4 linked regions of the Notamacropus eugenii genome follow. The protein of the gene in region 1 purifies or fractionates together with the protein of each later gene. This does not show direct contact. Links are inferred from orthologs where the notes say so. Each region holds a gene or a part of one and is shown in the gene's direction. Other genes may lie near its edges. The genes, in order: POLR2J, RPAP2, UXT and GTF2B.

What was found.
Region 2: the proteins of POLR2J (region 1) and RPAP2 purify together in Homo sapiens (affinity purification with mass spectrometry; 5 studies listed by BioGRID and IntAct, with this or other methods). This does not show direct contact. The link is inferred for Notamacropus eugenii from reciprocal best matches to the Homo sapiens genes POLR2J and RPAP2.
Region 3: the proteins of POLR2J (region 1) and UXT purify together in Homo sapiens (affinity purification with mass spectrometry; 3 studies listed by BioGRID and IntAct, with this or other methods). This does not show direct contact. The link is inferred for Notamacropus eugenii from reciprocal best matches to the Homo sapiens genes POLR2J and UXT.
Region 4: the proteins of POLR2J (region 1) and GTF2B purify together in Homo sapiens (affinity purification with mass spectrometry; 3 studies listed by BioGRID and IntAct, with this or other methods). This does not show direct contact. The link is inferred for Notamacropus eugenii from reciprocal best matches to the Homo sapiens genes POLR2J and GTF2B.

The regions. Positions count from the first base shown.
Region 1 is NC_092873.1:51,623,174-51,631,240, forward strand, and holds the start of POLR2J (DNA-directed RNA polymerase II subunit RPB11-a), read left to right. Parts: upstream 1-4,847; 5' UTR 4,848-5,001; coding exon 5,002-5,054; intron 5,055-5,524; coding exon 5,525-5,614; intron 5,615-8,067. Other genes in the region: ras GTPase-activating protein 4-like, read left to right, coding at 1,030-1,150, 2,510-2,574, 3,138-3,586. UniProt on the Homo sapiens protein: Core component of RNA polymerase II (Pol II), a DNA-dependent RNA polymerase which synthesizes mRNA precursors and many functional non-coding RNAs using the four ribonucleoside triphosphates as substrates.
Region 2 is NC_092873.1:503,848,130-503,855,693, forward strand, and holds the start of RPAP2 (putative RNA polymerase II subunit B1 CTD phosphatase RPAP2), read left to right. Parts: upstream 1-4,303; 5' UTR 4,304-4,417; coding exon 4,418-4,493; intron 4,494-7,564. Other genes in the region: GLMN (glomulin), read right to left, coding at 658-783, 1,895-1,933.
Region 3 is NC_092879.1:101,807,549-101,814,635, reverse strand, and holds UXT (protein UXT), read left to right. Parts: upstream 1-4,283; 5' UTR 4,284-4,402; coding exon 4,403-4,500; intron 4,501-4,578; coding exon 4,579-4,660; intron 4,661-4,744; coding exon 4,745-4,812; intron 4,813-5,145; coding exon 5,146-5,253; intron 5,254-5,948; coding exon 5,949-6,012; intron 6,013-6,101; coding exon 6,102-6,155; 3' UTR 6,156-6,256; downstream 6,257-7,087. UniProt on the Homo sapiens protein: Involved in gene transcription regulation. Acts in concert with the corepressor URI1 to regulate androgen receptor AR-mediated transcription. Together with URI1, associates with chromatin to the NKX3-1 promoter region.
Region 4 is NC_092873.1:499,140,792-499,149,107, reverse strand, and holds the start of GTF2B (transcription initiation factor IIB), read left to right. Parts: upstream 1-5,139; 5' UTR 5,140-6,287; coding exon 6,288-6,304; intron 6,305-8,316. UniProt on the Homo sapiens protein: General transcription factor that plays a role in transcription initiation by RNA polymerase II (Pol II). Involved in the pre-initiation complex (PIC) formation and Pol II recruitment at promoter DNA.

The DNA.
Region 1 (8,067 bases):
CTCTGATACTCACAGGGAGTCAGCTGGCTTCGGGGCAGGCCAACTCATGGCCTGGGGCTATACTGTACTGAGGAAGGAAAGGAGGGCTACTAGCATTTATGAATCTCCTACTATGTGCCAGGCATTGTACTAAGCACTTCACAATTATCATCTCATTTGCTCCTCCCAACAACTCTGTGAGTTATGTGCTATTGTTATACCCACTTTACAGATGGGGAAACTGAGGCAGGCAGCAGCTAGGTGATTTGCTCAGGGTCTCACAGTTAATAAGGATCTTAGTTCAGATTTGAATTCAGGACTCCAGGAACAGTGCCACTATGAAGCAGCCAGCAATCTTTTCCTCCTTATAGACTTCCTTATGTGCCTGACCGCCTTTCCAGGTTCTTAACCTCTTTGTGTGGGTGTGGTGGGTCTAAGAATCCCTTCTCAGAATAATGATTTTAAATGCATAAAATAAGCAGGATTGCAAAGGAAACCTGTCGTGTGGAGAATTTTCAGAATGGGCTGATAGGTGGCGCAGTGGAGAGAGGGTGGGACCTGGAGTCAGAAAGGACTGAGTTCAAATCCAGCCTCAGTCACTTTACTAGCTGTGTGACCCTGGACAAGTCACTTCACCCTGTTTGTCTCAGTTTCCTCCTCTGTAAAATGAACTGGAGAAGGAAATGGCAAACCTTCCAGAATCTTTGCCAAGAAAACTCCAAATGGGGTAAAAAAGAGTCAGACATGACAAGTGCCTGGAACCCAGGTTAAGGGCCCCTGAAGAACCTCCAGCCTTGGTTTTGTAGAAAGAAGGAGAGTTTTGTCTTTAGGTTACTTCTGAGTCACAGAGGGGGAGCACCCCTGCCAGCTGACGGCTGCCACATCTATTGGTTTCTACTCCCTAGACCTTGTCTTTATCCCACCCACTGGCCCACCCTGGACAAACCCTCCCTGCCCCCATTAGTACCTGCAGTGCTAAACTTTGCTCTTCCGGTCTCCCCTCTCCCCGTTCCCTCCCATCGGGGACACCTTGTCTCTTCTGTCTCACAGGTCTGGGCTGTGACAAAACCCGAAACCGGGTGACCCTGCAAGAGTGGAATGACCCCCTGGACCCAGACCTGGAAGCGCAGCTCATCTATAGACACTTGTTGGGTGTCCAAGACACAATCCGGTGAGAAGGACATCTGTGATCTCCCTCCCTAGTCTTGTCCAGGAGGGTGTTGCCAGAGGAGGGTACCCTCCCAGAGTAGGGCACCTCCCCAGCAGCACGTCTCCTGACCACCTCTCCCTTTTCCTAGACCTGGTAGGCAGAGGGAACCCAAACTCTTGACTTCTTTGCCTTCCTGAGCCTCTTGTTTCTTTTCTGACCCAATTTAATTGATTTAACCAATATTCATGAAGTGTTTCCAATGAGCAAAGTCCTCTATTAGGTGCTGGGTCTTAGGGGACCCTTGGGTGAGATATTGGGAGGTGAGGGGATGAAGAAGGGAGAGGAGCAACTCAGAGCAAGTACCTAAGAAGCTTTGACCAGATGGCTCGGAAGGTCCTCCAGTTATCTGTGCCTCATTATGGCCATCCAAGGACAATGATTAGAAGTAAGGCCACCAGGATAGCTGTGCTAGACTGCTAGGCTTGAAAACAGGAAGAACCCGGTTCACATCTTTGCTTGATGTGTGACTATGAGGGAGTCTCTTAGCCTCTCTGGGCCTCAGTTTCCCCTCCTATAAAATGAAGATGTTGATCTTGGTAGCCTGGGAGATCTCTTCAGGTTCTGAATCTGTGGTCTGGTGCCCTCGGTTCTTGATACGATGACTGCGACTTATCTTTTCATGAAGAGAAGTGGCACAAGAGATGTGTTCCTCAGTTTCCTCACCTGTTGGATCCTCCTAGAGCTGAAATTTTAGATTCTAATTCTGTCATTCAGGGCTTTTCCCTTCCCTGGGAAAGTGATAGAAGTTGATGTTTCAGAGGGTCTGGGTCCTCATTCTTCCTTCAAAGTTTAGAAGAAATGATGGGTTTAAACAGGCTTCTTCATGAGAGCAGGGCAGGAGGTTCAGGATCCTATTCTCTCTCCCAGGTCAAGCTGTGAATCAGGACTCATGGGGGAAAGAATTGGATGCTTGGTAGGGTAAGATCAAACCGAGGTGGAAATGGTTTAACACCAAAGAGAGCATGGAGCTTGGCATAAGGTGCAGAGTGCTGGACCTGGGCATAAGGAGACCTGAGTCCAAATCCTACCTCTGACCCTTACTAGCTGTGAGACCCAGGGCAAAGTATGTAACCTTTCAGAGCCTTAGTTGCCTTATCTGTAAAATGGGGAAAATAGTATTACCTACCTCACAGGGTTCTGAGGATTTTTGTGGACTTAAAGTGTTAAATAAATGTTAGCTGCTCTTATCATTACTAATTTACTACTACTATTAATATGGATACTACTGAAGACACATATTAGGCAGTCATCCACAGATTCTCACAGGAGTAAGAGGGCAACCTTGGTCTAAAACTTGTCCCTTTTCCTTTCCCTCATCAGTGAAAAGTACCTGGAGCTGACTGCCCTGGGGGCTGCTGGGAATATCCCCAACATCCAAAGTGAAGGTAGGACCCTGACAGTCCCTCCCAAACCCCCCTCTTCTCATTCCAGAACAAGCTAACACAGTCCTTCCCAGGCCAAGGGAGGTAGTTTGATGAAGAATTCTGATTCTAGAGTCAGAGGACCTAGGTTCAGATCCCACTTGAGACATTTACCTAGGCCTCAGTTTCCTCATCTGTAAAATAATGGAATTGAACTAGATCTGAGGTCTCTTCTATGATTGTTTCTGTGGACAGATCACTTAAAGTTCCCTGGGCTTCTGTTATACCTTCTTTAAAATGGGGGGGGTGGGGTGGGGGTGGACAAACTGAACTCCCAGGTCCCTTCCAGCTCTGATCCTATGAAAGTCTGGCCCCATGGAAGGTCCTGAGGTCCTAGGACTCTGTGGTCCTTACCAGCCACTCTGGGGATGGTCTTTCCCCAGCACCTGAGGATGGTCCCACCCAGCTGTTCCAGGTACTCCGGGACCTAGAAGATGCCCACCGCTCTGGTCCTCTGACTACAGTAGACCAAGAGAAGAACTATCTCTTGGAGTTGCAGACGTGAGACTGAACTCTGCTTCCCTCAGGCCCAGGCCCTGCCTCGATGCCATCCATCCCACCCTCTGCCTCCTGCTGGGACTGTTTATTCCCAGGAACTCCCTGTCATGCTGGTGGCCTAGGAGCTCTGTGGTTTGGAGATCTGCCTGTGGCCTGGGTGAGCCCCTGGTCCCTGGCCCTGTCCTCACTTCTGCTCCAAAAATCAGCTTTTGGCTGCAAACCAACACCCCTTTCCCCATTTCCACGAGCACTTCAGGGGCCTGAGCCTTGTCCTGGGCTGCGCAGCAGCGCTGTTCCAACGTGTCAAGAGAGCAGCAGGAGGTTGAAAGCGCCCCTCGCTGGGGAGGGGAGCAGAGACATCCATGTGTTGGTTTCCTGGGATGGGTCACTGGGGCCCCAGGATCGGCAGTCCTGGGCCCTCCTTGTCCCCCATCCTTGGCTCGCTCTGGGTTACATCCTTGATTCTAACATTCCATGAGGTTCACAGTCAGGGAGCTGGGCGCTGGGGGAGACAAAGGGGTGCTGTGATGACTGATTTGGACTTGGTGGTTCTAAGGAGTCTCTGGAGTCTGTTCTTCCCTCTGCTGACCCCATGACCGGTGCCTCTGGTCTCCTAGCTGTTCTAGGGAGGAAGTGTGGAGAGCCATGGCCCCTGGGGAAGGCAGGTGGAGAAAGTAGAAGCTGTCACTTCTGCCCCCTTCCCCCCATCCCAGCATGAACACTGGGCCTCTGAGGCTCCTGGGGCTCCCTAGGGCCAGGACTCTGCATCCAGCTTCTTGATTCAGCCCCTGGGGTGGGAAGCCTCTGGCAGCGCCGCTTCCTCCTGTGCCAGCAGCCCCTCCCCTTCGCTGGGCATCACTGCAGATTACAATAAACTTTCCTTTACCCTTGTTGGGCTGGGGCTCTGGTCCTGTCTTTGGGGGGTGGGGAGGGGCACCGAGCATGTCTGGGGTCTGAGGGAAGGGGCACCTACTGTGTGCCAGGCACTTTCTACAAAGGTTATCTCACCTCACCCTCACAACAACCCTGGGAGGTAGTTGCCATTGTTATCATCCCCATTTTACAGACGAGGGAAACTGAGGCAAACAGGTTCCGTGACTGGCCCAGGGTCACACAGGGTCGGAAGCCTGACTTTCGTCCCGACTGCAGGCCCCGGGCACGCCCGCCCCGCCCCCCACCCCAGCGCTCCGCCCCTACCGCTGTGCGCCCCGCCCCGCCCCCACCGCTGCACGCCCCGCCCCCACCGCCTCTGGCAGTAGCCGGAGGCCTCCAGGGATTCCGAGGAGAGAGCACGCTGCGGGCGGCGCATCAGGGGAGTCTTCCTCCGGCTTGGGAGGGGCTCGCTCAGGCCCCTGGAGGCCCGCGTGGGGGAGGCTGCCACCTTGCGGAGGAAGCAGGGAAAGCAGGAGGAGGGGGCGCCGGAGGAGGAATGCTGGGACACCATCTAGCACTGGAAAGGCCGATTCCCACCCCTTAGTTTAACTGAGAAGGAAACTGAGGCACAGAGGGGGAGGGGATTTGCCCAAAATGAGGCAGCAGATCAGAGCCGGCGTCATCCGCTTCTACCAGCGTCCAAGACGGCGTCCGAGCCCGGGCGCTGGAGCCCCGTCGCCCCCTAGCGGGACGGGAAGAACACAACGCCGGACACGCACGCGCACACACGTCTACTAGTGTTGTCCCCTCCCCTCCCGTTGGCCGAGCGGCGCATGCGGCCATCTTCCTCTCCCCCCTCTGGCTCCGCCCCTTCCTTTTCTGTTCCCTCTAGCGGCGGAGTGCGTTACTTCCTGTTCCGCCGCGGTCGCGCATGCGTGAGCTCCATTCGGAGCCAGGCGTGCTCCGGAAGCGGAAGCTGGGTAGGCTGGGGAGTCCCCGAGCTAGCGGCGGCGGCAGAGAATGAACGCGCCTCCGGCCTTCGAGTCCTTCCTCCTCTTTGAGGGAGAGAAGAAGTGAGCGCGGCCGCGGGGCGGGAGGGCCGAGCGGGGCTGCCGCGGCACCCTCGGTAGGAGGGGCCTCAGCCTCCTCCGTGTGATGGGGGTAGACCTTTCCCCGGGCCTCAGTTTCCCCGCCTGTTCCCCCTCTCAGAACACGACGGCCCCTTTTTGGGAAGACGTCACGTGTGGTAGCGCCCCCATTGTACAGAGGAGGAAACTGAGGCCGGCAAGTGTCGGAGGCGGGAGCCGACCCCGGCTTTGTGCCAACTAGTGACCTAGGAAGCAGCAGGGGACGCTCGTCCTGGGGGGGGGGGGGGGGGGCCTGAGAAAGCGCCACAAAAACGCGACAAGGCGCTGTTTGGGCAAAGAACGGGCCGAGCTTCGGTCCTGGGTCCGCAGCGAACGCCTCCCCACGTGTGCCCCTCCAGAGCCGGGCGGGATCGGGTGGGCAGCCCGCGCCCTCACCGTGCCCCCTTCCTCCCCAGGATCACTATCAACAAGGACACCAAAGTGCCCAATGCCTGTTTGTTCACCATCAACAAGGAGGACCACACGCTGGGGAACATCATCAAGTCGTAAGTGCGGCGGGAGGGGGCGGTGCCCAGGCTCCCCCGGGCAGGAGGAGGTGCCAGGTCTACCCAGGTGACCCAGGCCTTGGGCTGGCGCCGCCATCCTCCTTTCCTGAACACTTCTGGATCTTAGGGTCGTGTGCCAGGGAAGAGCGGAGCCCTCTTCATGCTGAACCCCTGAATTCCCAGTTCAGAACTTCTCTCCTTATTCCAGAATTCTGCTTGCTCACTCAGTAAACCCAGACAAGTTCTCCAAACCCGGTCCTGCAGCTTCCGAAGCAGAGATTACACGGCCCTGGAGCGTTTTCTGCTTTGTTTAATTTATTCACATAAAACAAAAACGTTTCACTCGTCTGGTAAGAATTCGTCTTCTCAGCTGTACTCAGAAGCAGAGCATCTTTGCTGCTCATCTCCCTGCCCGCCTTTAGGTCCCTTCTGTCCTCTGCACTTAGACCAGGGAACTCTGGGGAAAGGGGGAAAGGTGAAGCTAAACCTCCTTTCATCCGTTGTAAGCGTTAACCTTGAATTGCTCAGTACGAAAAGGGAGGAGTTTAGGAGACTTCAGTTAGGTTGGGAGAGCGTTACCTGGCACCCAGACTAGCATAAGTCAGTCTTATACTTAGTGTTAACTTGGGCTGCCAGATTGATCTTCCCCAGATATTGTTTATTCCGTTTCCCTGCTCAGACACCTTCAGTAGCTCCCTGGTTCCTATTGAATAAAACTCCTAGGTGGCATTGGAGGCCCTTTTGTTTTTCGGTGGTTTTGTCAGTTGTGTCCAACTCTTTGTGAGTGTTTGGGGTTTTCTTGGTAAAAGTACTGACTGCAGTGGCTTGCCATTTCATTCTCCACCTCATTTGATAGAAGAGAAAACTGAGGCAAATATGGTTAAGTGACTCGCCCAGAGTCACTCAATAAGTGTCAGACACCAAATTTGGACCCAGGAAGATGAGTCTTTTGGTCCAGGGCTCTGCCCACTGTGCCACCTAGCCACCAGGTCTGATCCGTAGGCTACATTTAAAATAATTTCTTGTTGACAGCTTTTGTTTGTATGTAACCTCTATTTCTCTCAGACTAAAGTAACATATCAAAAAAGTCTGGCCTTTTATGCAACATTCTGCATCTATGGTCTCCCTCCTCTGCAAAGAAATGGATTTTTGGGAGGGGCCAAGCTTGGTTATTACAGTATTACAGCATTAGTTTTCTCTTATTTTGTTCTTTCTCTACACAGTGTTGTAATCGTGTATTCTGTTTGCCTGGTTCTGCTGGCTTCACTTTGCATCAGTCCATTTGGATCTTCCCATACTTCTTATTTTCATCATGTTACTGTCTTATAGCAGAAGCACTAATTCACTTCTCTTTATGAATCAGTTTATTTAGCCATTTCCCCATCAATAGGTCTCTCTCTTGTTTCTCGTTCACTAGTGCACCTTAGCTGCCCTTTTAGGCTTATTTCCCTCCTCATCATGTTGAAACCCTTTGCAGCAGTCAGGCCAATTTCCTCAAGATCCCCTCTCGGTGTTGTGTGTATTCACCTGCCTCTGACTTTGCCTCATTCAGCTTGCCTGGTATGTCTTCCCACCCCTCCTCCACATCCTCTCTGTGTCCTCTTAGATCCGATACTTGTAGATCTTTCCTGGGCACCGACAGGGAATATTAAATGCCTTTCTATTCCCCACAGCATTGCCACATCCTATGCCTTGCACACAGTTGGTAACTCACTTAAATTTTACACTAAGTCATATTGCTTACTGGCCAAGTACATGACTATCATTCCACTTTGGTCATATTCAGAAGTTTAAAATCAAGAAATATTTGTTAAGGTCTTTATATAGAGTATTGTGGTAGATAGCCGGAGAGTTAGAAGGATTCGTTAAAAAACATATCCTGCTCTTGTGAAGACTGTGGAGAGTCTAGCAGTGTCTCAGATGCCCAGATCACTTTAATGCTGTAGAATACATAAATCCTTTAGAAAGCTGCAGACCAGCGCTGTCAGGTCTGACTCACATCATCACAGCATGAGGAGGTCAGAGAGTCTAGGGGAGGCGGTATTTGGATTGGGCTTTAGAGGAGGAAGAGGAATTCATCTGGCAAAGAAGGAGATGGAAGAGAAAGTACTCCAGGTTTTGGGGACCCAGGCAGGAAGGGAGATGTGTTCTGGGAGCCAAGTGGGGCTGAGAGGAGTGAGATAAGGGTCAGGACTCTTGGAATGGCATGAAGGCGGGGTCTGCAAGTTTGAGCTTGGCTCTCAGTGAACAGACAGGAAGGGGATGAGTGTTTCTTGGCTACTGCATTCTGAGCTGTGTTGCCTTCCTCCACTTTGTCAGTGAATTCATTTTTTCCTCCATGAAATATCCAAGAGGCAGCAGTATAATGTAGTGGACAGAGAGCTGGCTTCGACACCAGGAAGATCTGGATTCAAGTCCCACCTTTGACTCTGAGCTAGTCGGTGGCAGAGATG
Region 2 (7,564 bases), about 450 Mb from region 1:
TCTTCACCTGGACTGAGATTTCCTTTGCATTGGATTTACTCACTCTTGTTTTGGTTAGAGTTGTGCCTTGTTCTTTCAAAATTTTTTCATAAACAGTATTTTGTTTTTATCCCACAAGTGACTTTCTTTAAAATGAATAAAAGAGTATAATATTAATTTATTGTTTGTCTGGGTCCCTGAAGTCAGGCCATTGGAGTTGGGCTATATTTTGTATAGTGAAAACTGTACGAATACAGCCCAAGCTTTAAATTAATCCAAGTCTCTACCTAAATGCCACCAATTTTGTTAAAAAAAACCATAGGCATGAACCCTCGCTCTTAATTGTTTAATTTTTTTTAATGAAGTACACAGTACAAAGTGTTTTAAAATCATTACTAAAAGAGTTCTACTTGGCAAACGGAAAAAAAAAATTCAGCTGAATCCCATTTTTAACACTGTTTACCAAGATGTGAATTTGTGCAACCGCTTGGAAGGTTAGGCTTAAGCTATTATGCTAAGTATCCCAATGGTATTAGCTATTTAGATGTACACTAAGAATAGAACGCTCATGCAATGCTCATTTAGTAATCTGGGCAGGGTTATCCAGGGTATCCGTCGGCTGCACTCTATCTAATAAAGTATAAAAAGTTACACATGATAGTAAGTGACAACACTTACCTTGTTCTTTTCATTTTCTAAAATGTCTAATACCTGAGCAACGTGCCCTTCTTCTAAACACTTTTGGCCTGCTAACTGAAAGAGACCAAAATCTTCCTCTTTGAAGTTCTCCTCTTCTAGGATTTGCTTTAGAAACAACAACAAAACCCGACAAGTTAGCATTCATTTACGTGATTATATAATAAATTAAATTATGACTTGATTGTTTAGTCTTGATCTACACCCATAGTACAAACACATGGGCAGAATTAATGACTTTCCTAAACAGTATCCGAATAAACTATCTTAGAATCCAATGTACTAAAATTCAGAAAAACTTAGGAAGCTAGAGAAGCAATGTGTGTCTGGTATCTCCACTATCCTTCTCCCACCCCTGGGAGTATTTATTCATAGTGGGGGCAAAAAAGCAACACTGCTCCAAGAGAAAACCCAAACGTCCAGCCTTGCATACAAAGCATTCTCTGGTACAAACAAATAACAATGTGGAAGGGAGAGGTTTATTTTTGTTCAAAGAAAATTACTTCTGAACAAGTTGTAGTATATGAATGTGATGGAATACTATTGTGCCATAAGAAATGATGAACAGGAAGACTTCAGAGTGGCCTGGAAAGACTTATATGAACTGATGCTGAGTGAAATGAACAGAACCAGGACACAGTAACACAGTAACAGCCACAGTGTGCGATGATTGTTTCTGACAGACTAAGCCCTTCACAGCAATGTAAGGACCTAAAACATTTCCAAAGGACTCATGGAAAATGCCATCCACATCCAGACAAAGAATTATGGAATTGGAAGACAGACTGAAGCAGAATATTTTCTCTTGTGTTATGTTTTGTTTTGTTTTGTTTTTTCTCCCATTCATTTTAATTTATCTATGTAACATGACTAATGTGAAAATGATTTAATAAGAATGTACATGTAGAACCCGTATAAGATTGCATGCCAAAGATTGTATGCCATCTTGGGGAGGGAGAGCAGAGGGAGAGAAAATTTAAGACTCATGGAAGTGATTATTGAAAACTGAAAACAAATAAATTAATTTTTTAAAAAAGAAAGTAAGTAGATCCATTTCTCAAATTTTTTTGAGCTATGTCAGGACTCTCTGGTTTTATGGATGTGGAGTCCCTTCTCTGACACAGATGGCAGCCCCTCTGTTCCTTATTCTAGACCATCTTCATAAGTTGCTATGACTGCAATAAAATAAATTAAAAATTAAAAAAAGAAAATTACTTACACATCTCTTTACTATGGACTGAAGTTCTTCCACAGCCATTCCTGAGTTTTTGACTTTTCTTTCAGTTTTACTGTAGAGAAACACTAAAAAGAAAATAACTGCTCAATTTATATAACCTGCTTTAAGATTTACAAAGGACTTTATATATATATGTATATACACTATAAATATATTTGTTAATTATTTGATTGTTACAACAACTTGTGAGATAGATAGTGGGTTTATTATTATTTCCACTTTATAGGTCAGGAAACTGAGGATGTTGAAGGGTAAGTGATTTGACCATTATCACGTAGTTGAGATAGGAGACTTGACTCCAAATTGAGCATGACTCTATACTCAATGTCAGTGGTGTCAAACTCAAATAGAAATGAATCCCTCCCAGCCAGCCACATTAGAAAACCACAAATTAACATTATTTATATTATATTGTATTTTTCTTTATTTTGTTAAACATTTCCCAATTATATTTTACTCTTTTTCAGCCTCACTCTTGAGTTTTGCAAGAGCCTCTGGCCTTGAGTTTGACTGCTCAGTGCTATATATACCACACTGCAATTAACTGATGAAGATATTTTATTATTATATTAAGGAGTAGGTATATAAATATACTTCTGAATTAAGTATTATTATGAAGAATCTAATAATTTTAAGAGTTTAGTAAAAATCATCGCTGAACTTTAGCAGTCTTTTTATGGAAATATTAAAGATGATAAAACAATAGTTGGTATTTTAAAAAATGAACTTTTCATGTATTTTCTAAGTTTTCCAGTTCCACATTTACATATGCCTACTTTTTTCTGAGATGTCTTTACTTTCCAGAGGAAAGGGTAAGCATTTTGTAATGCAAAAATCACTCCAAATACTGAGAAATCCCAGGTCTAATTCAGAACTCTGGTTCTCTGTTAGCGAACCCATATGGGGTCCTGACACACAGTTTAAGAAGCACTGGGCATCCCTAGTAGAAAATATTTAAGAAGCCCTGCTCTACTGATAGGGACTGGGGGGGAACTCTTTGATCATTCTTGGATTCTACACTTCTACAATTCTATTGGAGATTCCACTATTCTAATGTCACGGGCATCAGAGCATCCCCACTTACAGGGTCATAGTCTAGGTGCAGAAGAGGCCCTAGAAATCCCCTGTGTCAACCTTCTCATCCATCAGCACTGGGATAGCGCTGCTCTGGGATTCTGAAGCCACAGCACTCAATCCAACAAGCCTTCCTTAAGGGATTACGGGGCCTCGGGGCTAAGCTCTGAGGATACTTAGACAAAAAAAAATGCAACTAGCCCTTCAGGGAATCTATCATCACCTACTCTCCTGATCACCCCATCACTCCACCTCAGCATCACCTATACTGACGGCCAATTCCCTCAGTTTACAGAGAGGGAAACTGAGACCGGAGAGCTTTAAGTAATTTCACCCCTTGCTGGGACGGAGGGAAATCGAATGGATAGATGGCTTTTAAAAGAAGCCTCTCCTACTTGTGGGAAGTCAATCAGTCAATCAATCAATCAATCGAGGATCACTGGGAGAAGACAGACCAGAAGCAAGTTCACGAAGCTCCCCCTGCACGTGCTTGGCTGCTGGGCATCGGTGACATTGACCAACTCCTGAAACTGACGCCTGTGAACTAAGTGCCTACTGTGTGCTGGGCCCGAAGAGTGCGCTGAGCAGTGCTCGTCCTCGGGGGCTGGGGGGAGGGGCTCGGAGGCTGTCCCACCGGACGAGCCCCGTCTCCCGGCCTACCCGCTCTCTCCGCTGGGGGCCAGGTGGCTTAGCCGAGATTCAAGCCGCGTGTAGGGCCCCCCTCCACCCCCTAGGCACCCTGGGCTGGGCCGCGGCCTGGATCGAGTCCGGTGACTCCCCAGCTCAGGCCGCGGGCCTGGGGCTAAAGCCCTGCCCCGAGCTCTCCCCAGCAACCAGACCGCCGCCGCAGCCGCCTACCTGCCCCGACCCTCTCCAGGCAGGCCTGGGCCTCCTCCTCCGCTCAGCCTGGCCGAGGCCCCGCCCCTCCCCGCCTCCCGCCCCGCCCTGCCCGGCGCGAGGACCAATGGCGGAAGGACCCAGGCCCCGCCCCGGATCCCGCCCCCATCTGCGCAGCAGGTCTCAGGCTGAGGATAGGAGGAGGAGGAGAAGGAGGAGTCGGTGGCGCTGTCGTCATGGAGGATTGAGGCCCTGCCTCTGACCCCGCCCCCATCCTGCCCCACATCTCACCTCCCACGGCGCAGGGAGGAGGTGGAGCCCTCGGTGAGACAGTCCATGGTTAAGGAGCTGAAGTCCCGCCCTGACCCCGCCCCCTGCCTCACCTCCCAGGCTCTGGAAGGAAGAAGTAGGAGGAGCCTGTGATGTCGTCATGGAGGAGGAGCTAAGGCCCCGCCCCCCGAGCCCATCCCAGGTGGCTCCGGGGAAGGAGGAGGAGCCGGGGGCGGGGCGATCATGGCGGACGAACGGAGGCCCCGCCCCTGACACGCGTCCCGGGCGGCTCTGGGAGAAGGAGGAGGAGCTGCTGCGGCCGACATGGAGGACCAGCCGAAGCCACGGGCCCGTGGCGGCCCCCGGAGCAGGAGCTCCCGAGGCGCTCGCAAAGGCGCGGGTAAGAGCTGGGGCCCAGGGGCCCGTCACGTCACGCCACCCGCGCCGCCCCACGAGGGACTGGGGCGAGGCGCCGAGGTAGAGGGGCCTGCCCCTTGTGGGAGGTGGGGCTAATCAGGCGGCCCGGCTACCCCTCTTCAGGATGGGGATCCCCCCTTAGAAAGAAGGGAACCCCCTTAGAGAGATGAGAACCCCCTTAGAGGATGGGGACCCCCCCTTAGAGAGAAGGGAACCCCCTTAGAGAGATGAGAACCCCCTTAGAGGATGGGGACCCCCTTAGAGAGAAGGGAACCCCCTTAGAGGATGGGGACCCCCGTTAGAGAGAAGGGAATCCCCTTAGCGGATGGGGACCCCCCCCTTAGAGAGAAGGGAACCCCCTTAGAGAGATGAGAACCCCCTTAGAGGATGGGGACCCCCTTAGAGAGAAGGGAACCCCCTTAGAGGATGGGGACCCCCGTTAGAGAGAAGGGAATCCCCTTAGAGGATGGGGACCCCCTTAGAGGATGGGGACCCCCCTTAGAGGATGGGGACCCCCCTTAGAGAGAAGGGAACCCCCTTAGAGAGATGAGAACCCCCTTAGAGGATGGGGACCCCCTTAGAGAGAAGGGAACCCCCTTAGAGAGATGAGAACCCCCTTAGAGGATGGGGACCCCCGTTAGAGAGAAGGGAATCCCCTTAGCGGATGGGGACCCCCTTAGAGGATGGGGACCCCCCTTAGAGAGAAGGGAACCCCCTTAGAGGATGGGGACCCCCCCTTAGAGACAGGGTGATCCAGACCATTTCTCCCCTCTGCCTCTTTAGAAGACTCTGGTCTCCTTAGATTCTTTTTTTAAACATAAATTAAATTATTTGTGTTTAGTCTTCAGCATTCACTTCTATAAGTTTTAAATTTTCTCTCCTTCCCTTCCCCCCTCCCCAAGACAGCTTGCAATCCGATAGAGGGTCTCCATATACATTCTTGTTAAGCGTATTGTCACATCACTCATATTGTATAGAAGAATTAGAACGAATGGAAGGAACCATGAGAAACAAAACAAAACAAAACAAAAATAGAGAAAATCGTCTGCTTCCATCTGCTTTCAGACTCCACAGTTCTTTCTCTGGATGTGGACGGCATTTTCCATCATGAGGCTTTTGGAGTTGTTTTAGGTCCTGGCATTACTGAGAAGAGCTAAGTCAACCAAAGTGGGTCATTGAACAAGGTGGCTGTTACTGTGTGTAACGTTCTCCTGGCTCTCCTCTCCTCACTCAGCATCAGTTCAGTCTTCACAGGTTTTTCTGAAGTCCTCCTGCTCACCATCTCTTATAGCACAATAGCGTTCCATTACATTCATGTACCACAGCTTGTTCATCCATTCCCCAGGTGATGGGTATCCCCTCCATTGCCAGTTCTTGGCCACCACAAAAAGAGCTGAGCTGCTATAAATATTTTTGTGCATGCAAGTCCTTTTCTCATTTTTATGATGTCTTTGGTATACAGCTCTAGAAGTGGTATTGCTGGGTCAAAGGGTATGCACATTTTTATAACCCTTTGAGTGTACTTCCAAATTGCTTTCCGGAATGGTTGGATGAGTTCACAACTTTACCAGCAATGAATTAGTGTTGCAATTTTCCCACATCTTCCCCAGCATTTATAATTTTCCTGTTTTGTCATGTTAGCCAATCTGATGGGTGTGATGTGGTACCTCAGAGTTGTTTTGATTTGCATTTCTCTAATCAATAGTGATTTAGAGCATTTTTTCATTTGACTTTAGCTTTAATTTCTTCCTTGGAAAACTACCTGTTCATATCCTTTGACCATTTATCAATTGGGGAATGACTTGTATTGTTATAAATTTGACTCATTTCTCTATATATTTTAACAATGAGGCCTTTTTCAGAGATACTGGTTGTAAAAATTTTTTCCTAGTTTTCCTAATTTTCTAATTTTTTGTGTCACTCCTGACCTTGGCTACATTGGCTTTCTTTGTGCAAGAACTTTTCAATTTAATGTAATCACAATTATCCATTTTGCACTTTATAATGTTCTCTGTCTCTTGTTGGGTCATAAATTCCACTGTTCTCCATAAGTCTGACAGGTAAACTAAACGTGCTCTCCTAATTTGCTTATATTATCAGACTTTATATCTAAATCATATACCCATTTGGACTTTATTTTGGTATACGGTATAAGATGTTGGTCTATGCCCAGTTTCTGCCATTCTGTTTTCCAGTTTTCCCAGCCGTGTTTGTGAAATAGTGAGCTCTTATCCCAGAAGCTGTGTCTTTGGATTTATCAAACAGTAGATTACTATGGTTCCCCTTAGATTCTAAGGGGAACCTGTAGCCTTGAGGCCACATGTGGCCCTGTAGGTCCTCAGGTGCCACTCTGACTGAATTCAAACTTCACAAAACATTGTTTTCATGTGGCCTCGAGGCCACAGGTTCTCCACCTTGCCTTAGAACATTCACTATCTAAGAGTGACATTCCCACTTTAGAGGACTCTTGCCATTTCCCAAAGGGAATCTAGCCCATTCTCATGCCATCTGCTTTAGAAGATTGTCTGTGTTAAGAGTTTACCCCTGTTCCCTTTGAGAAGCGATCTGAGGAATACTCTGGTATCTTTCTGCCTTCCCTAGTCTGTGAGATTGTAGAATCATAGATCTAGTTCTGTAAGAGCCTCAGAGACCCAGAGTCTAACTCCTTCCATTTGTAGATGACAAAAGAGGCCCAAGTCAGCTCACAGACTCACCCAAAATCGCAGTCACAGTAGTGAGTTCTATCCACCATCTAGGGACCTGTAGAGAGGTGCCTTTGAGGCTAGGAGATTTGGGTGAGAACAGGATCTGTGGATCATCCTGTGTGGGAGTGTAAGAGTGATGGGGCCTTACAGTCTCTCACCCTTTTTCCCTCCTAGGACCTCTACTTCCACTTCTTCCTAACAGGGCATTGCCAAATGAGGAGGTTTTGGGGGAGGATGCCTTGGCTCTGGGTAGGGGCAGCCAGTGGCCCAGAGGATTAGAGCTTTTCATCTTGAGTCAGAATGACCTGTGTGTGTGTTCATCGTTCGTTGCAGAAGAAGATCATGCCAT
Region 3 (7,087 bases), on another chromosome or scaffold:
TTTTTTATTAAAGCTTGAACCTCAAAAAAAATTCTAAACCCATTTTGCATCTTATTTTATGAGCTATTGTTAAATGAAAGATTAATTTTTTTTCTGTTTGAAGTTTCTCTGATTATCAAGAGACAAAAAGAGCCTTGTGTTGCAAAATCCAATTTCTCCTGTAGTTTATGGACAACATTTTCCAGGGGTGTGTGAATGTTCAGGGAGGACTAACCTCTGGTGTGAGCGCTTGTCCAGTCCTTTTCAGGACTACTTATCTACCTTTGATATCCACCTGGCATTCAACTCTCACTTGTGGCTCCAAGAAGTTATAGCAGATACAGCAGCCACAGCCCAGTAAAACCAGGTTGAAGGTAACCTACAGGCCTCAAAACCCATTGGTGAGTTAGGGGAATGTCTGTCCCAAGCATGTAAAGACTTCTGTTGGCAGAATAGGCTGATGAGAAGAGTTTGTTCTAACAGCCATGAAGGTGGCTCAAGCAGCCATTGTTGAGCGCTTAGGGCTTGGTGGGACATCTACGTCATCCATTGTGTTCCTAGCCCTTCACCAATTGTCCTGACTTTTGTCCTGTCACTGGACTTTGATGGCTCTGGAAGAAAGAGTGAGGCTGACAACTTTGTGCAGCTCTGCTTCACTTTAATCCAGTTCATGAACTAGTCAAGACATTACCCTATGATGTCGCTGGTACTGTTTGAAAATGAAGGACACTCAAGGCAAAATGCCTTCCACACTCAGAAAAAGAAATATGGAAGTCATTCACAAAATGTAGCAGATCATGTTTGTGTATGTGTATGTGTTTGTGTATCATGTTTTGATTTGTTATATGATTTCTTTCATTTATTTTAGTCTGACTACATAGCATGACTATAGTGAAAATATACTCAATAGGAAAGTATATGTAGAACCTATACAGAATTGTATGCAGTCGTGGGGAGGGAGGGGGGTAGTGGGGGGTAGGTGTGGGGGGGATAAAATCTCAATTGTATGGCAGTGATTGTTAAACATTAAAAAATAATAATAAAAAAAAAAGAAAATGAAGGACACAAAACAAGCAGACTTGAGCAGCACTACCTCTCTGCAAGTGACTTGGAACTTGGGAAGCAGATCTATTCCTGCTAGTTAAAAACTGACAGCCTACTTAAGGAAATCAGAATATTTGAAATGAATGTCTGAACTTTGTAAATGCTGGTCTAGGACAAACCACATGAGCACAGACTTTCCTAGGGAAAATGTTTCCCAGAATCAGATGACTTTATGGGACGGTTAAACCCATGATAACAGAATAAGAAATATGTTGTTTAAATGGCTATTTGGGTTGGTTGTCAGGAAAAAGCTGGATTAAGGAAATTATGATATGATGCCCATATTTGTTCGTGTATTGGTTTTGTTTTGCTGTTGTATTCAGTGTTGTCCAATATTTTATCTGCCTGTGGAAATGTTTGCCATAACACTGATGCTGAGACATCTAGAAAGGAGATTGACAGAATGTATGAGAATATGGTTACAGAGAGACATTTCATTTCCTTCTATGACCATAAGGAGTTGTAAGAATTTTTTATTCCTTTCTCTCCAGTATTATTTAAGCCACTTTAATTAGAAGGAAAGTCATGTAGCTGGCTGAGATTTTCATAAGACTCCCAATTATTTTGATCTACATAAAAAAAAAATATGGGAATAAAAGAATTCATGCTACCCCAATCCCAGATTTTTCCCTCATTAGTGATTTTTTGATGAACTAGCTCTAATGTGATTGTCTTCTTCAGTTATCTTTGAAATACAAATCACGTCAGCATAATCTTTGTCATGTAAATCTTTTCTTTCTCTTATCAGTGATTCCTTTCTCTTTGTAGCCACTGTAATGCAAAATTGTATTCTTTTCTTTGTGTCTCTGATGAGATTAGAAACTGTGTAAACTTTAGGAAATCTAAACTTTTAAATCTACACTTTGTTCCTGATTGAGAGAGATTTTTGAGTTCTGGACCTATGCTGAAGCATATAAAATAAACCTTGATTTTATCTCCTAGTTCTCTGCTTGTTGAAAAGCAAGACTGGCAGCAGGTCAAGGAACCACTGGCTATTCCCATAAGAAAACAAAGTGGATGCTCATCCATTAGAGAATAACTACATTTATGGTGGTCCATGAATTGGCATGGAGTGTTACTCTGTTGTAAGAAATGATAAAAGTGATGAAAATAGAGAAGTGTGGAAAGATCTCCATGAACTGATGCCGAGGAAAGTGAGCTGCAACAATGTAAGTAGAAGGAGTCATAGAACAATCAAAAATGAAAATTCTCTGTAAAGAACAAGCACAGGTGGCATCCAACTAACTGACTAGTTTGTGCTGTATTTGCTGGTATGTTTCTTTCTTTTTCTGTGAGACACTGAATGTCTTTTTCAGTAATTCCCTTCCCCCAACCACTTTATGATTACAAAAGAGAATTCATTTGAATATTTCTAAGAACTCGTCTCCTTCTCCAATCTAATAAAGCTTGTAGGAGCTTAACAAATGTTCATTAAGTGACTGATAAAGAAGATACTGTTTGCTTTGGTCTGATGTAAATAGCTATCCTAATATGTTGGGGCAGCTAGGTGGTGCAGTGGCTAGAGCATCAGTGCAGGAGTCAGGAGGACCTGAGTTCAAATCTCACCTCAGACACTTGACACTCACTAGCTTTGTGACCTTGGGCAAGTCACTTAACCCCCATTTCCTCATCCTGGGTCATCTCCAGTCATCCTGATGAATATCTGGTCACTGGATTCAGATGACTCTGGAGGAGCAGTGAGGATGGTGACCTGCACAGCCCTCCCTCACTCAGAGCAAAGTCAAGTGGAAGTCATGTTATTTCTTTGATGGCATGGTCTTCTTTGGCAACCATGTACAAACACATGCTAATACATTAAGCATTCTTTTAATTTTGATAATGTTTAATGTAAAATTTTGGAATAATCTCTTTGTTCTCTCTGAAACAAACTCAGAGAATGCTTCTTCCTATGTCAGCAAAAGCCAGCCAAGGCTGACTCTACACTCCTTAGGAGACCTTTAACCTAAGACACTAGATCTTATTATCTATAGACATATACTATGTTTGTTATGGCATATTAGTGGTAAAGAAAATATAGACATCTTGGGTCATAATTTCTATGTGAAACTTTGTCAAACTCTGTTATCTTATTGTATTTACAGCCTATGCAATTAAGAAATTTCTTTCTAATGGTCTTGTTAGTCACTTATGGAGATCATAAATCTGAAGGACACAGAACACTTCTTTGTCCTAAAACATATTTAAGGCCGCCCAATTCTTTGTATTGGTAGCCAGAACATTTCTGGCTCCATAATGCATTATGGTGCCATTGTCTTTAATAGGGAATTGATTAATTAATTAATTAAATCATAAAATGTATGCATTTAGCCTGTTGCCTTCTTTTTTTAAACCAAGTTTTCAGGTCAACATTTTTCATACTAAAAGTGACTTCTGCCGACTGCCCTATCTGATCTAATCCAAAACTGCTTTGTATGCTCTCTGGGTATATATACACACATACAAATATGTTATAAACATAAGTAAAAAAAGAAAGATCTATATGTGTTATCTGTGGAATTGTGAATGGTACAGGGTAGAGATTTTTTTTTTGTTTTAGACTTTTTTCTACACTGATCAGATTTGCTGATTTTCCCTCTTTAGCAAACATTATTTTCTGTATGGGTTGGCTCTCTGGGAGTAGATAGTAGAAGAAATGTTGGTGGTATTAACCAGCCTCAAAGATGTCAGTATTTTTTAATGCCAGAATTGTTGTATGGGGTGGGTGTGTGTGTAGGCGGAGAGCAAGCAGTGCCGGAGTCTGGGTCCCCAAGGTCACCCTCAAGGTGGCTTCCTGGTCCTAAGGAGGTCCCAGTCTTACCAAATAGGTCAGTACAAAGTGTAGTCAATGGCAGGCAATCTGAGGGGGGAAGGCCTAGGGCAGGCCGCAAGGCAGAGAGGGAAGCCAAGATGCTTTTTTATGCCTGGCACAGAGTAAGCGCTTCCTGAATGCTTGCTGTCTTACTGACAGCCCGCGGGCCAGAGAATTTCAAGGGCGGGGCCAAAGCCGCGCAAAGTCTCGAAACCGGAAGGTCACGAGACGAGTCTCCCGGATCTCGGGGGCCAGCAGAAACAGCTGCTTCTTCAGGTCTTCTGCGCATGCTTCAGCCTGGCAGCTCCCACCCACCTGGGAGTGCAAGGCCACGCAACCAAACACGTGACCCAAGGGGCGGGGAGTACGCGGCAGGAAGTGACGCAGAACCGCCAGGAAGTGATGCATTCCCCTTGCGGCTCACCCCCGGAAGTCAGAAGCGGGTCTTTGCTGGCGCGGCTGGCTGAACTGGATTGAGTGGCGAGGGGCCTGGGCTAAGGGGGTGGGAGGATGCGGGTGGCCAGCATGGCGACGGCACCGCGGGGGGTCCAGGCAAAGGTCCTGCAGTATGAAACCTTCGTCAGCGACGTCCTGCAGCGAGACCTAAGGTAAATGCGAGGGGGCGTGGGGCCTGCGGGGGGCGGCAGCGGGCGGGGCCTAGACACCCCTTCTGCCCCCCACCCCAGACAGGTCCTGGCGCAGCGGGAGGAAGTGTACGGACAGCTGGCCGCTTACCTGCAGCTGAAGAACGTCCTGGAGCGGCTCCAGGTGAGCGGGGCGGGGCGCCCGGGAGCCCCTCCCTTGGGCCCTGGGACGGCCTGGCCCGCCCTCTAAGCACCCCCCCTCCCGCAGGAATCGGGGGATCAGAGGCTGCACACACAGGTGGATTTGGGGTGTAACTTCTTCGTGAATGCCGAAGTGTGAGTCCCCCCCTCATCAGTGGATCACCCTAGATCGACCCTGGAGCAGTGTGGAAGGAAGCCTATGGGCCCCTGCCCCCAGCATAGTTGTTAAGTGCATGAAATAGAATATATGGACTCCAAGGAGATCAGTTCCATTCCATTTCAGGTAGCCAGGGTTTTTTATTGTTTGTTTTTTTGAAGTTCACAGACTCTGGCTTAAAAACCCCTTACTCCATAAGGAACACCCCACCTCCTAATCCCAGAACTCAGAGACCATCCCAAATGCAGAGAAGCCCCAGAGGGGCCACGAGGTTCATAGAGAGCCCCTTGAGAAATGCCTCTGTCTTCCAGGCCAGACCCTTCCCGGATATTTGTGGCCCTCGGCCACGGCTTCTTCCTGGAGCTGACATTGATGGAGGCCTTGAGGTTCATTGATCGGAAAAGCCGCCTGCTCACCTCGTAGGTTTTCCAGGGTTTGAGGGGAACAGGAGTGAGGGGGAAAGGGAAAGGGTCTCTGACGAGCTCTGGCCATCTTTATTTTTTTTTAACGGCTTATTTATTTTTAGTTTTCAACATTCATTTCCACAAAATTTTAAGTTCCAAATTTTCTCCCCATCTCTCCCCTCCCCCACCCCAAAACACCGTGCATTCTGATTACCCCTTCCCCAAATCTGCCCTCCCTTCTATTACACCCCTCTCTTCCCTTATCTCCATCTTCTCTCTTTTCTTGTAGGGCAAGATAGATTTCTGTACCCCATTACCTGTATTTATTTGCCAGTTACATGCAAAAATGGATTGTCAATATTTGTTCTTAAAACTTTGAGTTCCAGCTTCTCTCCCTTCCTCCCTCTCCACCCATCCCCACTGAGAAGGCAAGCAATTCAGTATAGGGTATATGACTTCCATAATAGTCATATTGTGTAAGACTATGTTTCCCTCCATCCTATCCTGCCCCCCATTTCTTCTATTCTCTCTTGACTTTGTCCCTTCCGGAAAGTGTTTACTTCTAATTATTCCCTCTTCCCATTTGCCCTCCCTTCTATCATTCCCCGCCCCCCTTATCTCCTTCTCCCCTACTGTCGTGTAAGATAGATTTTCATACCAAATTGAGCGAGCATGCTATTCCCTCCTTAAGTCTAGCTATCTTTTTCCAGGCTAAGTGACAACCTCACCCGAGATTCAGCTCGGATCAAAGCCCACATCCGATTGGTGCTGGAGGTAAGAAGGGCAGGAGGGTGGAAGGTGTGTCAGTGGAAAGCTTATTTTAGAACCTAACTTCCGATCCTATGTACTCTCTTCCCTCGAAGGGCCTTCGGGAGCTGCAGGGGCTACAAGAGCTGCCAGATCATCCAGGACACTGATTAGGATGCTGAGAATTTCCTTTCCCTAAGAAGACTGCTACTGAGGCTCCAACTCTTGTTACTTGAAATCAGAAATCCCTTTAATAAAAGCTGGGAATGAGGCTGGGGAGGGGAGAATGTTTGTTGCCATGGAGATGGGGCAGCCTTCCTCCCTACCATTATCTTCTCTGCAGTCGCAGAGCCACGGTCTCTGTTCTCTTCCTGTTTGTTCTTATGGTTGTGTTCGAGCTGGCCCCTTTCCTCCGCCTCCTTCCCCCCCCCCCCCCTCCCACCTCGGTGGGCGCAGACTGAAGAAATTCATCTAGCTGCGCTGGGCCTTTTTCTGCGCAGGCGCACAATCTGTCTCCTTAGTGGCTTTAGATTTGCCACTCTAGTTGGTCCCGCCCTTTGGTGGCGGCTTGGTTGCTCTGACTCACGGGTCCCGCCCCTTCGGCCTTCCCTTACCACGTGATCGATAACGTCAGCCAGACCCCGGTTCTTCTATCCCGGTGGTGCTCTGGGCCGGCTCCGGGCTGCTCTGGGCCGGGGCAGGCTTCGGTCGGTCGTAGGGGGAGGGAGGGAGGTGGTGTAAACCAGGCCGGTCCTGGATAAGAGGCTACAGAGTGGACAGGGGCCGGGATCGGTGTCAGCAGAAGAAGGAGGAGCTAGGGGCGGGAGGGTGGCTGCTACCGGGCTGGGACTCCCCCATGGAGCCCCCGCTCCCCGGAGCTGCCATCAGGTTGCTCACAGGTGAGGCAGGGATAGCCTGGGAATCGGGAGGGCATCTGCTGCAGGAGAAGGGCGAGCTTTCTGTGTATTTTGGGGGGGATTTGTACGGGGTGGGAGACAGGGTTGGGCTGGAGGCCCCCAGCGCCTCTAATAGCCGAGAACGGACCTATTTGTGGCCTTCCGTGCGACTCATCGGCAGCAATGGCCTTAGCTGTGGCTTTCCT
Region 4 (8,316 bases), about 450 Mb from region 1:
TGCAGTGACATTATCAAGGTGTTTGAAAAGGAGGAGGCAGAGAAGGCTAAAAATCACAGTTTTTCAGACACCTATAAAAATTAATGTAATGGGTAGTGCTTTAAATATGAAATCCATGGCCAACGATCATTCAGTCTGGCTCCTGGCTTTCCTGGATTTCTGTAAGATTCCTTTTTAAGCTTTTTGTAAGTTTCCTTTGTAAGTTTCCATCAATTATATTCTTGGTGTGTGTAGATTACCATATGAAGATTTTGTAGCAATGAGAAACTAACCATATTTGTCAACAGTTACTGACATCTTGCTTTCTTTCCCATTTTTTGGCAATAAAATACATGATTTTCCCAAGAATTTAGAACTGATCCCTCAGCAACCTCAAAATCTTGATCTAGTCCAGCTGTTGTTGTTTTTGGCTTCTTTACTGCCATTTTTATTTTCTCATTTAACATAGAAGGCAGTGACGTTAAAATCTAAATGACGCTGACGGAGAAGACAGTGTTAGAGAAATTCTTAAGGGTTTCTTATTTTTCTTCTGTTCATTGTCCTTCCAGCTTTGTAAAGTCTTTAAGATGATCTGGTTTCCTTGGGTTTCTTCTGTCTCTTCTGCAAAATAGTTTTTCACTCCACTGCTTCTCAGGACTCTGGGAGATGATAATTGCTTACAATCTCACATATAGTGCTTAGCCAAAAAGTTTATATTCTAAGTCAGTGACTAAGAATTTGAGAGTTTCAATAAGTATTAAAGGCATTGTTTTTATTTCATATGTTTCTACCTGGCAAGGAAATCAAACATTTTCTGGTTGAGGTACTTCCTCGGTCTTTTGGACAATTTGTTATGGTAATCAATTTACATTGCTTAAATTTCCTTAGTAATGGGGACCTCTTGTGTCTATGTCTGTCTTTAAACCATCTCTCATTTTGGACATCAATAACTTGTTGAAACAAGTCAGGTTGGAGTTATCTTAATTGCACCCATGTTATTTTTACTTTTAATTTCATACGAATTTGAATCTTCTAAGAACTTCATGTGCTAGTTGCGTAAGAATAGCTGATTCAGAAATGACTCCCACATTGGTGCCCAGTCACTTTTTCTATTAAAATATAATCACATTCATTGTTGGTGACATCATTTGGAGTATCCTTCCTGACTTTTCTTGAAGCCTGTATCCATTATATGGAGACATGAGAATTCAACATACACTGGAAGCCTTGGAGTTTTCTTTTCATTTCTTACTTCTTGCTTACTTTCATTTCTTACTCCTGATCTGTGTTCTTTCCCTTCTCTTCTTTCTCTCTTTGAAATAACGCTCAAGTCAGGAGTGGGGAACCTGTGACCTCGAGGTCATAGGTTGCCCACCCCGGCTTAGGTGTAAGAAATGAATTTTTAAAACTATACATATATGCATACATGCATAGAGAGATCTATATATGTATAGATATATTTGTATATATCTCTAAATCACCAAGTATTACTGTACATGTTGATTTAATATAGAGGGGTTTCATCAAGGTCTTCATAGAATTTTTGTTCCTCTCATTCTCTACATACATATCGATGCAAAAATTGCCATGATTTTCATGGTGATTTTTTGGGAGGCACTGTTTACTATGAGTATTATATTACAAGATGACCAAATTTCCCATTAATTATCAGGGCAGCTAGGTGGATCGGTGAATAGAGTGGTGGGCCTGGAATGAAGAACATCTACTAGCTGTGTAACTCTGGGCAAGTCACTAAACCCTGACTGCTTCCAAAAAAAAAGAAAAAAGACATACCCCTAGTACCATCTTCATGTAATCCCCCCCCAACTGCTAGTGTCCTTCTCAAACGACCCTATATTTAACTATTTTGTATATATCTGCATTTATTCAATGTATGTGTGTGTATGTGTGTGTGTATATGTGTGTGTGTGTGTGTGTGTGTGTGTGTGTGTGTGTGTGTGTACACACAGAATGCTGGGCATGGAGTAAGGAAGACTCATCTTCCTGATCTCAAATCTGGGCTCAGATTCTTACTAGCTGCATGACCCTGGGCAAGTCACTCAACCCTGTTTGCCTCAGTTTCTTCACCTGTCAAATGAGCTGGAGAAGGAAATGGCAAATCACTCAAGTATCTTTGTCAAGAAAACCCCAAACTGGGCCACAATGAGTCAGATGTGAATAAAATGACAACAATAGAAAAACAAAAATCGAGTAGAATTGTTTCCAGGGATTCCTTATGCTAGCTGTTCTATAGATCTTTTCTATTTTTCAACCAGTATCAGAATAGTTTTTGTGTGTGTGTGTGTGTGTTTGGTTTGTTTGTTTTGGAGACAACTGGGGTTGAGTGACTTGCCTAGTGTTTGATGCCATATTTGAACTCAGATCCTCCTGATTCCAGGACCAATGCCAAAACAGTTTTGATGATGATTCATTTGTCATATAATTTGAGGTCTGGAAGTTATTCTCCCTGAATTCCTACTTTTTTTTTATGATTTCCCTTGAAATCCTAGGTCGAGGCCTTTGGTTCCTTCCAATGAATTTTATTGTTTTGTCTTGCTGTATAAGGCACACCTTGGTGGTCTGACTGGTAGCTTTCCCATTTTTTTACAGTCACACAGTTGACTAGAAGAGGTGGAAAATCCTAAAGACCCCTCACTGCCTATTGTTTTCTGTCTATTAAAAAAAAAGCATTTGATTTGAAGAAGCAGACTCCTGCCTTAAAGGTTGTCTTTCTCTTGGAAAAGGAAGGAATCTGAGCTTTCTGATTTTTCATCCAAGGTAATTTCTACTACCTTATTCATGCTTTCCTCTATTGCCCAAGACAGTTCTTATTCAGGGGAAGCAAGATTTTAATAAATTTGATAATACCTATTATTAAATAATAAAATGGGCATATTTTATTGACACTAATGAACAGAATTATATGGTGGGCAACAAGCTCTGTGTAGGCCCAACCTATTTTTCATTAGTCTTTACACACAGAGCATACCCATAATAAATATAGGACTGAACTAAGATTGTACCATGTTGCTCTCCATTGTAACTGGGGCTATGAAAACATGGCACAATGAAAAGACTGTTGTATTTGGAGTCAGAGGTCCTGGGTTTGAATTCAGCTCAGCTCTTTACTACCCATGTGAACTCTTAGAAATCTCTACACCTTCCCAGGGTCTCAGTTTCTTCATCTGTAAAATGTGGAGTTTAGACTAGCTGGTCTCTGAGAGTCCTTTCAGTTCTAAATACACGATACAGCTTGGTGGAACATGTTAAGGACAGTGAAGGGGTCTCCTGAATTTGCCATTTTGAGTTGCCATATTTTTCCAGAAACACTGAACCTAGAATATCCAAGAGGCCCTGAATGCGTGAAGGACAAAGCTCCCTGCCTCCACATCTTCCCCAGCTGATGTAATTTGCTGTTTTCATCCCAAACTGTGATGGGGTGCTTGGGTGCTTGTGCTTTTATCCCAATTTCAAGATACCATTTCTCCTTAGTTTCAAAAAACACTATCCCTGACAATTTTCACCCCAGCCCTAGGACACTATGCCTAGCAATAACTCATGAGTGCGCCCCAGTAAAACAAACTACCTTTCCCCACAATTACTCAGGAGTGGGCCCCATCACAAGAACAAGCTGACCTCTGAAGAAGTTCTCTTGTAAAAACAGGACTATCTTGTAACCACCGAATTGCCATGTATTGATTCACAAAGTTATCATATTCAATCCAGAGGTCAAGTTATAGACATCAACTCTCAAAGCTACCTTGCTACTGATAATGTTTAATATAAAATTTTGGAATAATCTCTTTGTTCTCTCTGAAGCAAACTCAGAGAATGCCTCTTCCTATGTCAACAAAGCCAGCCAAGGTTGACTCTACATTCCTTAGGAGACCTTTAACCTAAGATACTATCTTGAATAATGGGATAGACACATACTATGTCATGGCATATTAATGGTAAAGAAAATATAGACATCTTAGGTCGTAATTTCTATTGAACTTTGTTTACCCTTTCCTGTCAGTTATCTGTTTAGGGCAGGAAGCCTGCCACTCACTAGTGGTGGGATTTCCTTCCTTATCACCGAGACATATGTTTACCCAGCTGGAATTGCAAGGCCTGACCAACATTACTTTGTTAATTGTCTTGTCTTACTAAATTTATGATTTGTTCAACTAGGAGAGTTCCTTTCTCACAGCAAAATGTATATAAGCCAGAAGATTTCTGCACTGGGTAGCCAGAACATTTCTGGCTCCATAATGCATTATGTTACCGTTGTCTTTAATAGGGAATTGATTAATTAATTAATTAAATCATAAAATGTATGCATTTAGCCTGTTGACTTTTCTTTAACAAAGTATTCAGGTCAACACTACAGACATAACAGATCAAAAATACACCCCTGAGAAACCCCTTCCCCCGGTTTCCAATAGTGAATGATGCCTGTGAACAAGGTTATAAGTTATCATTTAATTAGCATATCTGCTGGATAATTCACTAGTTTTCCTATATTAGCTTTAGCATCATTCCTGTTAAGTGGCAAGTTCCTTAGGGAACACTGCCTAGCATATTGGCATTACAATAAACCTTTGTCACCTTGACTTACAGAATACTTGAGTCCATGAATTCATTCCATATGACCCTGTCCAGTACTCAGGTCTTTGGGGATCCCTGAGCCCCTTAAAGTGCATCAATTGGACTCTCTGTGTGCCCTTGGGAGTCAAGACAAGGGGCCAGTCAGTCTTCACTAGGCTGAGAAACTGCTTATGTCGCTGGGACCCTGTAGATAAGAAGACCATTCCATTTTCATAGCCTAGAAAAGAATGGGGCTTTTGCTCCTCCCCTTCAAGAGCGGTTTTCTCCTTTTCCCAATTTTCCTGCACCTTTCCCCCTCCCTTGCCATACCCCTTTAAGTGGAGATATCTGGTATCTCCTCCTTCCTTTGTCCTGCTGTTATAAATATGCAAACTTCTGGAAGGTATCCTTCTTTCCTTTGTACCAGGGCACAAACTTTCTTCTTATGGCTTCTAAGGTGCTCACAGACTGCAGAAGCAGGTAAGAGAATCTCGCTGTCTTCTATTTAAGCTAGATATTAAAGAGTTATGTAAAAATATGATAAACTGCCACTTGTCTCCCTAATTTTTGTTTTGGAAAATCGTGTTTTTTTTCATAAAATTATGCTTTTACAGGAAATCTTTACCAACTCCTCTTAATTCTGGGGTCTTCCATATATATGCATATATATATATTTATGTATATATATATATTCTTAAATAATTATTTTTTTATCTTGCACAGTTTGCTTTTTAGATAACTATTGATACGCTGTTTTCCCATTAGTTTGTAAGATCTTTGAAGGCAGGGACTGTCTTTTGCCACTTTTTCTGACCTCAGTGTTTAGCGCAGTGCCTACCGCATACTTGGTGCTTATTAAATGTTTAATGATAATATAATAATACACATCACAATATTATATTTATTGTTCAGTCAATGTCGATGAGGTTTTCTTGGCGAAGACATTGGGGTGGTTTGCCATTTCCTTTTCCAGTGTGTCCTTTCATACACATGAGGCAAAGACGGGTTAAGTGACTTGCCCAGGGTCACGCAGCTAGGAAGTACATGAGGCTGGATTTGAACTCGGATCTTCCTGACTCCAGGCTTGGCCCTCTACCTATCCACTGCACCACCTAACTACAGACAGACACACAGAATTAATGTTATTTATAAATATATAATTATATAGGGTTGAGTGATTGATGCTCACATGGAATGGGTTTGTTTTTATTTTATTAATAAACTTGTAAATATTTTAAAATTTTATCAGTTTAAATTTCTACTGACGGATATAAGCCACATAAACAAAGGTTTGGGGAGGTCCTCGATGATAAAGGCTCCTGAGCACAAAAGCTGCACTTACCGCGTCAATTTCAGGCATGACGGTGCGGGGCAGCCCCGGAGGACGTAACCCGGCTCTACGCACTTCAGCGAAAGCTTTTCTCGTCCGGTCGTTTCCGGCTTTCATTCAGGACGAGCCTCACTCAAGTCGAGTCAGCTGACTCCCAGGGGAGGCTGAGTTAATTACACCCGAGGGGCGCCGGCGGAAGAAAAGGCGAAGCCCGTGAGCAGTGGAGCTTCTTGGCTCCTCTCCCGTTCCGTAGTCCGCGCGTCTTACTACGGCTGCGCGCTGTCTGCCTATAAAAGCGGCGCCGCCTGCGGCTTCCCGGAGTTGTCCTTGCGCTTCTCTCTGTTCCGCTGTGCTGTTTTTCGTTCCGCCTGGGGGTCTCATCGAAACCTCCACCGCGGCCGCCGTCAAGATGGCGTCCACTAGCCGGTCAGTAAGTCCTGCTCCGACTCGCCGGGAGCGAATCCTCGGTGGGGCGGCTTCCGCGGGGCTCCGCGGCGGCGTCGCGGGGGAGGCGAGGCCGAGGAGGCGGGGCCGGGCCCGGGCGCGTCCGGGGGGACGCGGGGGGTTCTCTTCGCCCGCCCTGGGGCTTTCCTCGGACGCTTCCTCTTTTTCTCTCCTGGCCTTGGTCGCGGCTTCTCCGCCGGCCGCCCCCTCCTCGGGTCTCAGGCTCAGCCTAGGCCGACGGCGCGCCGTCTCCGAAAGCAAACCTTCCTACCCCAAATCCCTTCGGGCCTTCTGGGGGAGTCCCTCGGTGGGGTCGGGGGGAGCGCGGCCCTCGCTCCGATGTCGCGTCGACCCTCCTCCGGACGGGCTGCCCTTTGCCCCGGGCGGGTTCAGTCCCCAGCCCAGCCTCTGGTCTTCGGGCCCAAACTGAGTCCTGCGGCTGTTGCCTTTCCCACGGGGAGACCCTGCCCCGGGGCCGCCTGGTTCCCCCCCTCGTCGTGCCCCGCCGCCCATCCTCCGAGCCCGGCGGGCGCCTGCCGTCTTCTCCCGAGCACTCGTAGGCCACTGGGGACTCCCGCCGGCTGCGGGCCGGCCCGGCACCCTTGTTTACAGCCTCCAGTTGGGTCACCCTCGCAGTGGGTGTGGCCGTCAGGTGAGGGTGTGGGGGGCCGCGGGATGGAGACGTCAGGTGTTGCGAGGGCCCTCGGACGGAAGGGAGAAAGAAAGCGCTTCTTTACCATAGATGCTTAGGTACGTTTCGTCATCTTCTGTAACATTTAGGGCAGAATTTAATTGAAAATACATTGGAATACACTAGGGACTGCCCTGCCAATCAAAGGACGTACTATGGTGTTAAGTCACTGTTTACTCTTTGTGGATTAAGGACATCCGTTTCCCCTGAATTAGCACCTTCACCCAAGAAAGGAAGGAAGATGGGGGGAAACCAGGATCTGTTCTTGTTACTTCTTGGAGCTGTTCAGTTTTTGTAAGAGCTGTGTTCTCCAAAAAGCAGAAGAGTTATGTTTTGCGTTCAGCTTTGGTGCGGCAGAAGCCTGTGCTGGGCACTGGGGAAGAGTTTCTTTGAGACCTAGGCCCTGCCTTCCTTGGGTTGGATGCAGCCTGGAACCCAAAACAAGGTTCGGAATCAGCTCTGACTTCTCCTTTTGCCGGAGAATCGTCTGTTTCAGAGTCTCTTTTTCCCTTTCCCTTCTCCCTTCCCCATTATCCTTTTATGGTGGTATAATTGTTATTTTTTATGCTTTTATGTTCATTTTAGGTATTTATAGGTCAGGAAAGCATTTTCATGTTTTACTGGTGGAGAGGGAAGAGAAGGGAGTACAAAGCTTAATAGTATGACTGAAGGAAATTTAAGTTTTGCAGAAATAATCAGAATCATCTTTTTATGTTACATTGATGCAAAATTGGGATGTAATATAGTGACCCACGAGTCAGGAGATCTGAGGTCACTAATCCTCACCAGACCTCAGTTTCCTCATCTGTAAGTGAAGGTGTCTGACGAAATGATTTCTAGTGTTCCTTACAGTTGAAAAGTCTGTAAAACTTTGAAAATTGAACCGTTTCTCTGTTAAGCTTCAACCTGAGTTGGTATGTCCATTCTTTGGGAATATAAATTCTGAAACCGGCCCTATGATAATCAAAATACTTGATGCTGTGGCCTGTGAAAGTCTTTAGTTACCTCAAGTAACATGCTTTCGGTAACCAGAACGTTCGCCCTAAGAATTGGATTATGGAAGTTTTTTATTCAGTGTGATACTGACTGTTGAGAAAATATTTTTTATATTTGTCCTAAAGTGGTTTTATGAATGGAATAGAAGTGGTGAGGCAATTATTATTTGGATCTTAAGGGAATGGGGAAGGCAGCTTTTAAAACATGATGAGTGCTTGAACCTTTCTGATTAAACTGATTCGTATTCTGTCTTTAAGAAATCTTAAGACTAAAAGGTTCAACTTTAACCATGAACTAGTATGCACAC